2 linked regions of the Caenorhabditis elegans genome follow. The protein of the gene in region 1 interacts with the protein of each later gene in a pairwise test. Each region holds a gene or a part of one and is shown on either strand. Other genes may lie near its edges.

Region 1 (7,262 bases):
ACCACTGATCGATTTGTGATGACAACGGCATTGTAAGTTAGAAGACGCTGATTTTTAGCAATAAAAAAATAATTAAAATAAATAATACCGATTAGCTCCACACACGTTTCAACCAATTATGCAAATTCGGACAACGCTGATTGGTTCAAGTGTGAGTTGAGCTAATTATAGATTGGACGTGTAGTTTTTTTTATCCCCCTAACTTGTTTTGGTTTTTGATGGACTAATTCAAGTTTTCAAATCAAAAATCATTTACCAAATTTAATATTTCAGCCCTCTTGGCGAGTTGGAATACATGAGACTCTGGCTTGACGATGCTGGTCTAGATCACCGAGAGTCGTGGTATTGCAATCGAATAATTGTGAAAGATCTACAGACTCAGGATATCTACTACTTCCCTTTCAACAATTGGCTTGGAACTAAAAACGGAGACGGAGAGACTGAAAGACTAGCGCGAGTGGAGTATAAGCGAAGGTTTTTGGATGAGTCAATGAGTATGCATATGCTGGCTCAAACAATTTCCTGGTTTGCCATGTTTACTGGTGGAGGCAATCGGTTGAGGGATCGAGTGTCAAGGCAAGACTATTCTGTCAGTATCATCTTCTCACTTGTTGTGGTCAGCATGATTAGCATCACAATTCTGAAGAGCGATAATTCGATTATCAGTGATTCGAAGAGTGTCTCCGAGTTCACTTTCACTATAAAAGATATTGCATTCGGAGTTGGATTCGGTGTTCTTATCACTTTCCTCAACTCATTGCACATTTTATTATGCACCAAATGTCGTTCCCACAGTGAACATTACTACTACAAAAAACGAAAGAGAGAGGATCCGGAATTCAAGGATAATAGTGGTTCATGGCCGATGTTCATGGCTGGGATGGCACGTACCATCATAGTATTTCCAGTTCTCATGGGTCTTATTTATATTTCTGGAGCTGGAATGAGCTTGATGGATGATTTAGCCAACTCTTTCTATATCCGATTTCTGATCAGTCTGATTCTATGGGCAGTGGTGTTCGAGCCAATTAAGGGATTGATTTGGGCGTTTTTAATTTTGAAAACCAGAAAGAGTCATAAAATCATTAACAAGTTGGAGGAAGCATTGCTAAGAGCTAAGCCAGCTGAGACGTTCTTGAGTAAGTTTTATAAAAAGAAGCTATCAGAATTCATTACTGAAATTCAGGAAATCCCTATGGGAAAATCGAAAAAGGTCTGGGAACCGAAATTGCTGATGTTACAAAGCTCCGAGACACTGAAAACCGAAAAATGAGAGATGAACAGTTATTTATAACCATTCGTGATATGCTTTGTTTCTTTGCTTCTTTGTATATTATGGTTATGCTGACATACTATTGCAAAGACCGGCATGGATATTGGTATCAGTTGGAGGTAGACTTTAATGCACATAGATTTAGATGAACTTATTATTTTCAGATGAGCACAATCTTGAACATCAATCAAAAGAACTACGGTGACAATACTTTCATGTCAATCCAACATGCTGACGATTTCTGGGATTGGGCTCGTGAATCTCTGGCCACTGCTCTTTTGGCTTCTTGGTACGACGGAAATCCTGCATACGGGATGAGAGCCTACATGAATGATAAAGTTTCAAGAAGTATGGGAATAGGTACGATACGGCAGGTTCGGACAAAGAAAAGTGCAGAGTGTACGATGTTCAAGCAGTTTCAAGGATACATCAATGATTGTGGAGAGGAGTTGACAAGCAAGTGAGTAAAAATCTTCAATTTCCAACTAATAGAGAGGTTTCAGAAACGAAGAAAAAACTTTGTACATGCAAGCTGGTTGGACCGAACTGGAATCCGAGAATGGAACAGATGCTTCAGATGAATACACCTACAAGACTTCTGAAGAATTATCCACTGAAACAGTTTCAGGCCTACTGTATAGCTATTCAGGAGGTGGATATACTATCAGTATGTCTGGTACCCAAGCGGAAATCATCACTCTCTTCAATAAACTTGATTCGGAACGATGGATCGATGATCATACTCGAGCAGTCATCATTGAGTTCTCTGCATACAATGCTCAAATCAACTACTTTTCGGTGGTACAGTTGTTGGTGGAGATTCCAAAGTCAGGAATTTATCTTCCTAATAGTTGGGTTGAATCAGTAAGACTTATCAAATCAGAGGGAAGCGATGGAACTGTGGTCAAGTATTATGAGATGCTTTACATCTTTTTCTCAGTTCTCATATTTGTAAAAGAGATTGTGTTCTACTTGTATGGGCGGTACAAGGTGATAACAACAATGAAACCAACGAGAAATCCATTCAAAATTGTGTATCAGCTGGCACTGGGGTGGGTCTAATGAGAACTTCAGTTTCAAAAAGACATTTTATAGAAACTTCTCACCATGGAACTTCATGGACTTGATAGTTGGAGCTCTCGCTGTTGCATCGGTCCTAGCCTACACCATCCGCCAACGAACCACAAATAGAGCAATGGAAGATTTCAATGCAAACAATGGAAATTCGTACATTAATTTGACTGAACAGAGAAATTGGGAGATTGTATTCAGTTATTGTCTTGCCGGAGCCGTATTCTTCACTTCTTGTAAAATGATTCGAATCTTGAGATTCAACAGAAGAATTGGAGTATTAGCGGCTACACTGGATAACGCTCTCGGAGCTATTGTGTCATTTGGAATTGCTTTCCTGTTCTTCAGCATGACATTCAACTCTGTATTGTACGCAGTTTTAGGAAATAAAATGGGAGGGTGAGGATGAAAACTTAATTGAAAGAAATCAATTTTTAAAAATTGGTTCCAGATATCGGAGCTTAATGGCTACCTTTCAAACAGCATTGGCTGGAATGCTTGGAAAACTTGATGTTACCTCTATTCAACCGATTTCTCAATTTGCGTTTGTTGTGATCATGCTTTATATGATTGCCGGATCAAAGCTCGTCCTGCAACTTTACGTCACTATAATTATGTTCGAGTTCGAGGAAATTCGTAATGACAGTGAGAAGCAGACCAATGATTACGAAATAATCGATCACATAAAATACAAGGTATTTATTTTTCAAGCTCACTATTAGATGTTCTTTAATTTCTGTTATTTAATTTCAGACAAAACGTCGCTTGGGTCTTCTTGAACCAAAAGATTTTGCTCCAGTTTCAATTGCTGACACTCAAAAAGACTTCCGTCTATTCCACAGCGCTGTTGCCAAAGTCAATCTGCTTCATCATCGTGCCACCAGAATGCTCCAAACTCAAGGTCAATACCAAAACCAAACAGTCATCAACTACACACTCTCCTATGATCCTGTCTCTGCTATTCACGAAACTGGACCAAAGAGATTCCAGAAGTGGCGGCTAAACGATGTGGAGAAAGATTGATTTTTGAGGGCTACCTAATTTGGATATCAAGAATAAATAATTGTGTTAATAGTTTGTTTTTCAGTTTTTTTTTCATTTTTATGACCGCAGAAAAGTAATATTCAATACAAAAACATAAGAACAAAGGCATGATGGGTCATTTAGATTAATTTACAATAAAATCTACATAAATTTCCTAATAATTTTTAAATCTTCGAGTTTCAACAATGATCACATCCACAATTTCCCTTATCTTCATCTTTATCGCTACCATGTCCTCCTTGTGGCTTTTGCTTCTTCTCTGGAAGAGTATGTCCACGACAGTGCTCCGTCTCATGCTCCTCCGGCTCCCAAGTTGACGGATCATCCCAGACACGAGGCGGAGTGTAGATGCAACAGCAATTGGATTTGAGACGTCCCATGTGTTCGTTATCTAAAGTTTAAGTATTTTTCAAGACTTTTTAATATAAATTCACTCACCAATTACTCCCGCTCCCCAAGTGACACGTGGACGCTCAACTGGAGCTCTCAGGCGGAGCACAAGCTGCTCTCCTTCTTCGTTGGTTTGACAAGTTTCCGTTACGACGGGGGCTTGCATCGTACGACTGTGTAGTTGATGTACGAAATGAATAAAACTTTGAATTTTTTCCCTGGAATCGTGGACTTACACTTTTATTTATTTGACAATTTATATATATTTAAAATGCCATGATTCCACTATAAAAAGTTCAAATTTCAAAAAAATTTATAAATTTCAAAAAAAAAATTGAACTTTTAACGTGAACTTTTGAATTCCCCTTACCTCCCCCTTGCCACACTAACAATTTATTGCTACATACTCGTCCGACAACCTCAACCGTCGGATTAAACAATCTGCTCAATTGATTGGTTAGCTATGGCTTCCTCGTTCGACAACCAAATGGATCAGGATGGAATGTGCTCCGTGTACTCTGCTCAGCCATCGGAGACAAATTGCTCCATCAATGAGGTGCTTGCCAAAGAAATTATCGCTGTCAATGAGACGCCAGATGATCGTAAGTTTTTATTGTCTTTTTTTTGGGAATATTGAGTTTACAGAAGCTGATTCTTCGATCTACCCAATCCCAAAATCAGAAACAAATGTGTCAGCTAGCGAAGGGTTCCAGCCATGTCAAGATATCAATCAATTCAATTTGTCCGTTTACTCTGCTCCAAAATCCGAGACCCCAGTGACCATGAATGAGAAGTTCGAGCGGTGCAAAGACTGTAAGTTAACTGCAACAACTCTATCTTGAAAAACCAAAAATTTTCAGTGATGAACGTTCTTGACTACTCTGTCTACTCAATGCCACCATCAGAAGCAAATGTTACAATGAATGTTGCAAGCTTCTCGGAGTACACTGCCCTTGCCTCGGAGACCAACGTCACAATGGCTGATGTTCTCAAGAACGTTGCTCAGGATTTGGCGTCAGAGCACACTGCAAAATCAGCTCATCCAACATTCGACACCACCGCCTACGTAGAGCGCCTTCAAGCCGAGCTCGGGATTCCGGATAGCAAAGTGATTGGATTGGAGTGCAGCAATTTTTCGAATGCGAAGATCATTGATTCAATTGAATGCCTTCATCAGTTGGACAAATTCCAACCAATCCCGGTGGATTTCGATCAGAATCCTGATTTTGGAAAAACTGGTAAGAGTGAAGTTTATTTAAGAAATAATATTTTCAATTTCAGCCAAATCTGTGGAAAGCTACCTCTTGCGTTCATCCAATGCCAGTTCAATCCATCACGAGATCTGAAGAATCGGAACAAATTATTGAACTTGGTCTATAAAAAATGTCGAATCATTTTTGTTGTTGTCTATGCATTCGTAATTTCTTGGTTTTTTGTATAGCAAATTTTTTGATGACTATTACGATAGTTCATGGAAACGAGACTTGTGCCTGGCCGCCTTTTGCACACATGAAAGCGAGGCGGACAAAATGAGCCCCGTCATGGCTCCCGGGTTGAACACCTAACAAGACGGGAATTCTTCTAAAAAGAGTTGTCTTATCCCTATAAATCTGAAATTTGCATCAATTCTTCACCCGCCCTTGTTGCGATCTACCAGCCTCGTGGTTCTAAGTTACTTCTACCATGCTATTTAATGTTAACTGTACATAAAATGTGGTGCTTCTTCTCAATTTCCATTATTTCCTACTTTTTGAGAGAACTGTTCGAAAGGAGTTGCCTCTGTGAGCATCTATAAATTCTTTGTACAAGTTTTCACCAATCACGTGGCAACCGTGTTCTTTAAATTTTTATAAAATTAAATGTTTTCACGTCTTTCCTACTAATGCCTCAATGTTCATTTTCTTATATTCAAAATTTCATTTCAAAAAAATTTTCAAATCGATCACATCTCGAGAGATCATAATCATGGAGTGTTCTCAGGAAGATGTCGTCAATGGTAATTTTACTGAGTTTGTCATGCCGTCTGAACCGTAGAATTTCAGATTTCATTGCTCTCGAAAAGATTGGTTCAGAAGTGGATATCAATTTGGATGGAGTCATCAAAAGCAAGGAGTGTAGTAACACGAACGAAGCAGATATTATTAGTAACTGTGAGTTGCCTTTAAACGATTTCAGATGATCTTGAATCACCAGATTTTTCAGTGATAACCGCAATCGAAGAATCTTTGAGTTGTACATCGGTCTGCACAGCTGTATCATTGGAGACAGTGGCACAAAAGTTGGATGCCTATGCAGATCCTTCTTTGAATACTCAGATGTCTTTCAGTACAGCATCGGATTTGAGTTCTATGGAACAAGATTATGTTAAAGGTGGGATTCCGTCTCAATTAAATTTTAAAAAATTTATTTTCAGCTTCAGATGATCCTTTCGACCTCAATCATCAACCGTCGCCGCTCCAAGTCTGGCGTGATCAAGGCAAAATCACCGGATTTCAAATGATGTGTGATGATCAGAAGGTTACTGTAGTTGATTCTCTGGAGTGCTTAGCTCAATCGGAGCAACATTTGGAACCAGTTTACTTCGATCCACGTGTCAACCTTGCTATTCCGTGCCCGCCAGATGATTTTGAGATTCTTGAAGACTATGGTTCAACATCCAATGCATCAGTCAATTCGGATGACGCTTCAACCGCAGAACTTGGTCCGACGTCTGAAGAGTTTGAAGAATGGGTTCGGAAAATTGAACAGAACTATTGAATAGCTATTTGATAAAATACATTTTTTCTCATTGAAGATAATAGTTTTGCATATCTGACTCTGCGTCTCCAAAGTCTAAAACGAGTTGAAAACAACAACTGCCTAGGCCCCCTGTCGCCTCGCGTGTGCACATTATACTCTTTCTACTTTTGTTCCTCGCGCTCTCTTTTTCTAGTTTTCGAACACTCTCTGCATATCAAGAATATTCAAAGTGTTTTCTTTCTCTGTTTGATCTCCGGAAATTGCTCCAAATTTACACAAATTTGTGGTCAATTGGTGTCATCGCGCTGTTTCTTGTTTCGTATTCGTTTTTCGTATTTTAAACGAACATTTTCGTTTTCAACAACGACAATAACGAAATTTCCCATTCATTTCATACACTCGAATATTTTTTCTTCGTTTCCAGAACTTGCCATGAATATGCTCCGCTGCTTTCCGGAGTGTGGGATTTGCGGGCAGGAGTATTCAGAAGACGAAAAGCTCCTAATCCCTAGAATTTTGACTGGTACACCGTGTGTTTTGATTCTTAATTAAAAATTATTTTATCTTCCAGAATGTGGTCACACGATTTGTACAGGATGTGCAGGAAAAATAAAAGGACAGTCTTCGATAATCGCATGCCCATTTGATCGAATTGAGACGAGAATTTGGAAAAAAGATGTGACGAGACTCAAAAAGAATTTTAGTATTCTGGAAATCAAACAAGAGGTGAAAGATCGAAAGAACC
Region 2 (7,278 bases), 3.3 Mb from region 1:
GCAAACTCTTCAAATTCACTAACGATGTAAGTCTTGTACTTATTCTTAAAATTTTGTACTTATTCAGGCATGCCTACTACGCACCTTTCAGTACTTTTGTGGTAGACAAAGGCCACAGGCAGTGTTTGTGCCTACATGAAAAGCCTACTTACAGCCGTTTTCCACTTTTGGCACAATTCGACCTCTCATGCTCATCATCTCCCTCTAATTACGTGTTTATGTTACAATACAATGCGATTGAGCCAGTACAATAACAATAACAAGTGTGAACGTGTTGAGAGCGACACGCGTCTAGTAATAGTCATTGTGCAACTGAGCAATTTGAACCTTTCCACAGATGTTCACCACTTCCCCAACAACTTGTGCATTTTTTGTGCATATCACTGTACCCCTTCAAACGTTTTAAAGCTTGGAGAGAAAATAGGGAAAGACGACTGGCTGACCTGACTAAACGAAGAAATTGAGCATCGAGTAACGAAGACTATTATTGCATTATAGACGGCAGAAGCGCTAGAAGGCTTTTAACTTATTATGTTGAGTAGACATACTCACACAAACTTATTAGCAACAAGAGGAGTAAGACCTGCTGTGCAAAATATTGTTGCCACGTCATCAAATACAAGACAAAGAATATTAAGAAAAGTTCCTTCCGTTTACATGTCACACTTAATTATAACTGGCTCTATGGGTACTTTGAACATTTGACACCTCATGACTTGCTCTATTGTTTCTTGAGTCACCGCAAAAAGGTGTCCTGTGGTGAGCTCCAATGTAACATAGTTCCAGAAGAATTACTTCATCATCACTCCTCCCTCATACTCGTGGTGTTAATACAAAAACTTATGCATATGCAATACAGCAATTATTCCCAATTAGTTAGCGGATTTCACTACCGTAGAAGAAGTAGTCGTTGTATTGAAGCTTCTATTTCATCACAATTGGCATGCTGTTTTGTCGGTATATAGCTCATCATTGAAAACGCGCTCATTATTCTTACGAAAATCTGTGTGATTTTAGTGGAAAACAAGATTTGATGAGAAGATGTTTTGCAAATTAGTGAGAAGAGAATTCTGCAATTAATGAAGGATTTTAAGCAAAGGAGATTTTTCAGAAAGTAGAAGAAAATAGTTATTAAACATTTGAAAAATTCAGATTCAAATTTTCAAAAAGCAAATTCTCACACTCTTGACAGTCTTTTCAAAAAAATAAACATCTTCAAGTATTTTCCATGTACAAATTTGATAAAGAACGGACCAGCAGGAAGCCAGCCATTATCAGCCCCTAGTTATACCTGCTTGTTGGGTTCATTATTTAAAAAGAAGGGTTCATATTTAAAAACTATGCACACTCCCACTATTACTAAACTTGCCTGAACTCGATGCATGACCGCGTCACTTGTCCCAAAATATCACTAATGGATGGATTATTTAAGATAAAATTTTTAAATGTAGTCAGAAAAAATTTCCTAGTTATTTGCTAACACGATAATCGTATACATTTCAAATTATATGTACATTCTAAAATGCGGGAACCATAATGACCCTTTCGTATTCTGATCACCACCTTTAGCACTAATTCCAAATGATTCCCACTTGAACCCGTGTGCAGGTGAGAAGAGTCGGCAAACCGATAAACGCATTTTCAAAAACTGTATCCGAAGGATTAGTGTTGAGATAAAGTAAGTGCGTCTGGTGCGACATCTCTCTTGCTTTCCGTAATCTTTTGACAGACAGCTCTTCTTTTTGATTGGGATGTGTAGCAACAACTAATGAATTGAGCAAATATTGCACTAATGGCACGCATGTGCCGACACACTCACAGACACCTACAAAAACAATAGAATAACATACTGTTGGATTACGGTCTTCCTAATTGGATGAGCAAATGGGAAAACTTATTGAGAACTGTTGTTGCGATGTGAAAGGGGGTGTGCTTTCTAGATCAATAAAACATTATTAAATTTCTGGTTCACCTCAATTACTTAATGATTGCCGACATTTTTTGGAATTTATGTGTAACAAAGTTGTTACGGTAGAACACATTACAGCTGTGCAACATTTTGGCATTACCTCGATAATTTATGAAACGTTCTCAGTAATAGCTCAAAACCCATTTTGACCGTAAACTTCGAACTCAACGTGTTGATAAATAATTTTTTGAAAAATCATTCTGGGCCTAGTACGTAAACGCATTATCGCAGACTTTTCCCAGAATTCTGAAATTTTATTAAATTATTGTGCAATGCGAATTACCATATTTTTTAACTCAGATTGCAACTAATTTTTCGACTTGAATCAGCATAAACTAATGCTCGAAATAACTTCGCATTCCGTTTTGATAAAATGTGTTCAAACTATTTGTATATTCTTATAAAATCTATCATAGGTTCAAACTTTTCATTTTCAAAACCAATATCAATTTTACTACTCGAGAAATACTGAATGAATTATAAACAAAATTTGCAGGTTAATTCAATAGTGTTATCACATCAGGAAGTTGTATCACACACCGTTATTGTTTACATTCGTTCTCAATGAAAGTAACAAAATGTCATCTGTCTCTCTGACTATCAAACCATTTTCCCACATCCAAATGCCCTTTTCCTGCCTGCTCGCTTGCTTGCCTAGCGTTGGTGATAGACTTGGGTATTGCATGGAGAAATGAGAAGACACAGACGGAGAATGACTCGTAGTCTGTCTCGTAAATCGACACGATAAAATAACTAGACATTTCTCTTCTCTCTGACCATTCCCATTCATCCGATTTCTCTCGATTCTGCATTGATTCTTACTCTTTCTCGTTTCATTTTTTATATTTTCCGAACGTTTTTTTTTTTGAAAATAGCATGTGATATGCTTGTGAAGTGTAAATAAACTTTATCTAATCAATGGCCCGTTCGGTTGTAATGTCTTCTTGCTCTTTTTCAACTTCTCTTTAATCCAAAAATATCGATTTGCAGAAAATGGACATGGATATGACTCTGCACTTTGGAGAACGCGAGAAGATTCTCTTCAGCTGGTGGAAAACTGGATCTCTGTCTGGTAAGTCTATATACTTCGGACACATTCAAATTTGCAAAACAATTAAAAATTAAGTTGATGAAATACACAAATAAATTTCCAGGAATGGCAGTCTCCATGCTTATAACCTTCCTTCTCTGTATTCTCTACGAAGCCATCAAATCATTCCGTTACTTCCTCGCAGTATGGAATAATCAAAAGAGACAACAGAGACATGCAGAAGCATCCATTACAAATCCACAAAATAGTGGAGGAGACAATATTTCTGAAGATTCTATTCACATCGCACCACTTGTTCAGTTATCTGGGTATGTCTTACAAGAAGTTTTTGATAGAAATCGTATTATTGAAATTTCAGATTTACAAAACGGCTGTTCACCTCGTACCGGCTTGCTCAAGGAGCTCTCTACGGACTTCAGGTAATTATAACGTTTAATTGTATAAAAGTGAATTTTCTATAAGACAATATTTACGAATTCTTAATATTTCAATAATCTAAATTTTCAGGCTCTCCTTGCTTACACTCTTATGCTGATTGCTATGACTTACAACATGAACCTAATTCTCTCAATTGTTGTCGGAGAAGCTGTTGGATATTTCTTGTTCACTGGAAACCCACTTGTTGAGCAACATCTCACAGATTGTTGCTGATCTTTCATGTAAATTTCACTCTAAAATCTCGACTTTTTCCATCATTCCAAACACATTACGACCAAAAATATTAAATCTTCATGTATTCTGTTGTTACTGGTACCTCACCCATGTTTGCTTTGTTTTTTCAATTTTTCTTTGTAACATTTTCAAAAAATCAATTCATTCAAATATCTCATAACTTATTCATACATTACAATTTTCTTTGTTCATTGACTAGATCGATTTGCACGTTTCGAAGTTGGCCATTTGGCATTCTTTGATTGTAAATTGGGCGAATTTGTTGTTGTCTGAATATTAAAAAATAAATATTTGCAACTTTAATTCACATTTTACCGATAAGATCCAGTAATCTCTTCCGGAGATAGAATTCTTTCAATTACTTTTGGAATAATTGCTGTTGGTGCTGGAGCATAAGTACCGTAACCTGCCGATGGAGGCATTGTTGGCATTGCGCCAACTATTGAATCAACTTTTGATGGCTGAATTGCAATGTTTCCAGTGTTTCTAGTTGGTGGAAGTTGAAGATTTGATAGATCTCCTTGAATCTTGATTGAATTTGCTGGTCCAGTGGATGCAAACCGGTCAACATGAGTATCATATTTATCAAGAGCTCCATCATTCTGTCGGCGCGTCGGTAGAAATGAATCTAAAACATAAGTTTTATTGAACTAGATAACATTTTGGTACCTTGGAAGTTTTTCACAGGAGACTGCCGAATTTGGTTACCACTTGGAATTAGAACTTGTGGTAGATTTTGGGAACTGTTTTCAATGAACTTTGAAAGCTGAAAATATTTAAGAAATAATTTTACATTTTTGATAATTCAGAACACATTTCGTTTGGCAAAAATCTTTGCGAAAAAGATAGAGCCCAATGCCAAGTTGGTTGTTTTTGGCTTCATCAAAAAGCGACAAAAATGGTTATGCTTTTATGCAATACGAAAATTTTGCAACATTTTTCATTGCAAAAAACCAACTAATTGTTGAGTTACACAGAGTCAAACTCATTTTACCAAAAACCACTGAAATTTTTGAGATCGTTTATGCTCTAACAGTCTTAACCCAATTTTCGTTGAGTTTCAAAATAATCATGTTGTTAAACAATAAGTAAAAAATATTTTGCGACATTTCATCAATTATAAGTTTTTTCATATTTTCATGTTCACCTAACAAGGGAAGGTTCTGAACTCGTTATCGGACTTCGTTACGCCACTATATACATTCGATAGAGGATAGTTACAGATGATCCCTCCAAAAAATTTAGCTGCTTCAGAGCAGGTTTGGCCAAGTTGTGACGTCTTGAAGTTTGGTGCTGAAATTCCTCATATCAAGTGATATTTCAATGACTACCACGCTGCAGAAACACCAGTGAACTCACCACTCTCAATTAGCGTTAGCAAACATGGCTTGGTGGCCGAGTGGTAGTGGCGTGAGTTTCGAGGTGTGGTATTCGTGGTTCGGTTCCCCGTCAACATAAACTTTTTTTTTAATTTTTAAAGTCAATCCATTTCCAATTAGAACACATCTATAAACTTTTTCAAGTGGGAAAATATGCAGATATTATCCCTATGAATCAAATGCGTCAATTCTCCAAATTTTTCCGATTTTTTTTTCTCAATATGTGTTATAGTTAAAAGCACAATAAAACAGATGTTTAAAGTTTATGTAAAAAACAAACGAACGATGCCAATATTAAAAAAAAAAACAAAAGCAACATATAATATACTCAACAATGGCTTTTAACACTTACACTTATGAGCTGGGAAGCCGCATCCAACCCAGTGGTTAAAGCATAAAACCTTCTTACAGTATGGGCAAAGAAGAAAAGCCGTATCTTGACACATCGTATCTCTCGTTTTCTTTTGCGAACAGTATCCAGAAACTTTGAAACAAAATTTGGATGGAGTTTCCACTTTGACATGTTGGTCATCTATGTATCCTCCTTGGATCCAGCCGTACTTCCAGCATGATTGGAAAATTGGTGCACGAAAGACACGGTACACTGCAGATATCACGCGAAGCAGGTTGTCACGCTCTGACGTCTTGAAGGTGATACCGGAGTAGATGATGTACGCGTTCACCTTTTTGACGAAATTCTTCAACGGACAGAAAAAGTAAAGATCGCAAGGTTGAATAAATGATGTAGCTCCTGGTGGAATAGATCTCACATGTACTGTATTTCCGGATAATGCTGCAGCTTGAACATCCCCTTCGTTTTTCCAAGCAGGCCAAGCGTCTAGAAGCTGGACAACCTCGGTTGGCATCGAAGGATCACAAACAGCGGATTCAACCCAGTCGACCATTAGTTGTTTATTCATAATGTGGGACGTATTAGCTCGGATGATCAGATTGTCTGGTGAGAAGTGCCCTTTTTTGGGAAATTTTCCACCTTTCTCCTACAATTTAATAAAGTTGCATAATGTAAAACGATAGTCACAAGACTGTGTGGCAATGTTGTGCATATTGTCAAACATACCTGCAGAACCACGTACAACTTTGGGGCTAACTTTCCGGAAGCGCTTAACATGGGAAGGATTGTGTAAGAGTGCGTGAGGGCATCTTTGGACTGTACCAGTCTTTCAACACGTTTAACACCTTTTGGTGCGAGCGTCCTAAAAATTTTAATGGTCTTTGAAAAACTCGGTTTAGAATTTACCGTTTGCAATATTGTTCTTTCGTGAACCCACTTTGGTCACAGTTATAAACGACATCAGGATCCAAAGTTGCCAATTCTGCTTTAACTTCCTCCACGAACTTTTTGGCAGCTTGTTCTGTGAGCTCTTTATTGACGTAGTTGGCACGAGTGATGAAAGTAGTTACGTGGCGAGAAACGAGACCGTTTGTCTTTTTCCACTTCTTCAGCCAGCCATCGCTTGCTTGAAATCCTTCAATATGGACGTGCTCATCATTCAATTGCACTGCAAGACGGCGTAGCGTGAACTTGTCAATCGAAATTCCTTCAAAATGTGTTTTAAGTCTGACAAAGAATGCACTACTTGTCGTGCAAACACAGTAGTTTTTCAATAATAGGAATACTCACTGTCATCGATTGCCTCAAAAACTTTTGTACGAAGAAGTCCAGAAAGTGTCGAAAATTGTGAAACACGTGAGCATCGAATTTCGTCTTAAAAACCCAGTTTTATACCGAATATGAAGCTGTTAATACTCACTATTTTTAGCAAAAACGCGAAGTTTCTGCATGTCATGTTGCGTTTTAATAAAACGATACCTACGCTGCATTGAAGCAAAAGATCGTAGTTTCTTTGTTCTGACATCAGTCATAAATTCAACGGCACTATGCACCTGTAAAAAGTAATGTATTTTAAATTTTATTTATTAGCCAATTATTTATCAGCGAATGTTGAGTAATTGATAAATTCTAAACACTTACCATTGCAACATCAATGGCAGCTCCAGAAGAGAAGTTCACTTTATCGGGTACTACGCAAGCGGATGGATCATCGTCATCAGGTTTCCAGTCCTCTTCATCAACAATTCCTCCGAATACTTCTTCTTCGTCGTCACTTTGAATAAGAAGATCGTCCGTTTCAGCATCTTTGAGAATCCTTGTAAATTTCTCGACAGTTTTCGTTTCTTCTCGACTC

The links. Proteins that work in one complex are often made in the same cells at the same time.
Region 2: the proteins of ZK945.7 (region 1) and F31E8.4 interact in a two-hybrid assay, tested with the Caenorhabditis elegans proteins (one large-scale study listed by BioGRID).

The regions. Positions count from the first base shown.
Region 1 is NC_003280.10:10,105,384-10,112,645, reverse strand, and holds ZK945.7 (uncharacterized protein), read left to right. Parts: upstream 1-4,168; 5' UTR 4,169-4,241; coding exon 4,242-4,380; intron 4,381-4,423; coding exon 4,424-4,591; intron 4,592-4,638; coding exon 4,639-5,016; intron 5,017-5,059; coding exon 5,060-5,124; 3' UTR 5,125-5,173; downstream 5,174-7,262. Other genes in the region: lov-1 (Location of vulva defective 1), read left to right, coding at 1-32, 274-1,139, 1,187-1,392, 1,438-1,733, 1,777-2,325, 2,369-2,743, 2,796-3,039, 3,098-3,367; ZK945.8 (PPP1R11/YPI1 family protein), read right to left, coding at 3,568-3,779, 3,827-3,944; ZK945.6 (Ovule protein), read left to right, coding at 5,744-5,774, 5,821-5,928, 5,981-6,148, 6,192-6,535; putative RING finger protein ZK945.4, read left to right, coding at 6,950-7,040, 7,089-7,262.
Region 2 is NC_003280.10:6,795,829-6,803,106, reverse strand, and holds F31E8.4 (Copper transport protein), read left to right. Parts: upstream 1-2,952; 5' UTR 2,953-2,962; coding exon 2,963-3,041; intron 3,042-3,123; coding exon 3,124-3,328; intron 3,329-3,378; coding exon 3,379-3,439; intron 3,440-3,527; coding exon 3,528-3,671; 3' UTR 3,672-3,864; coding exon of another isoform or gene 3,865-3,961; 3' UTR 3,962-3,996; downstream 3,997-7,278. Other genes in the region: T13C2.2 (uncharacterized protein), read right to left, coding at 3,865-3,961, 4,008-4,320, 4,362-4,458.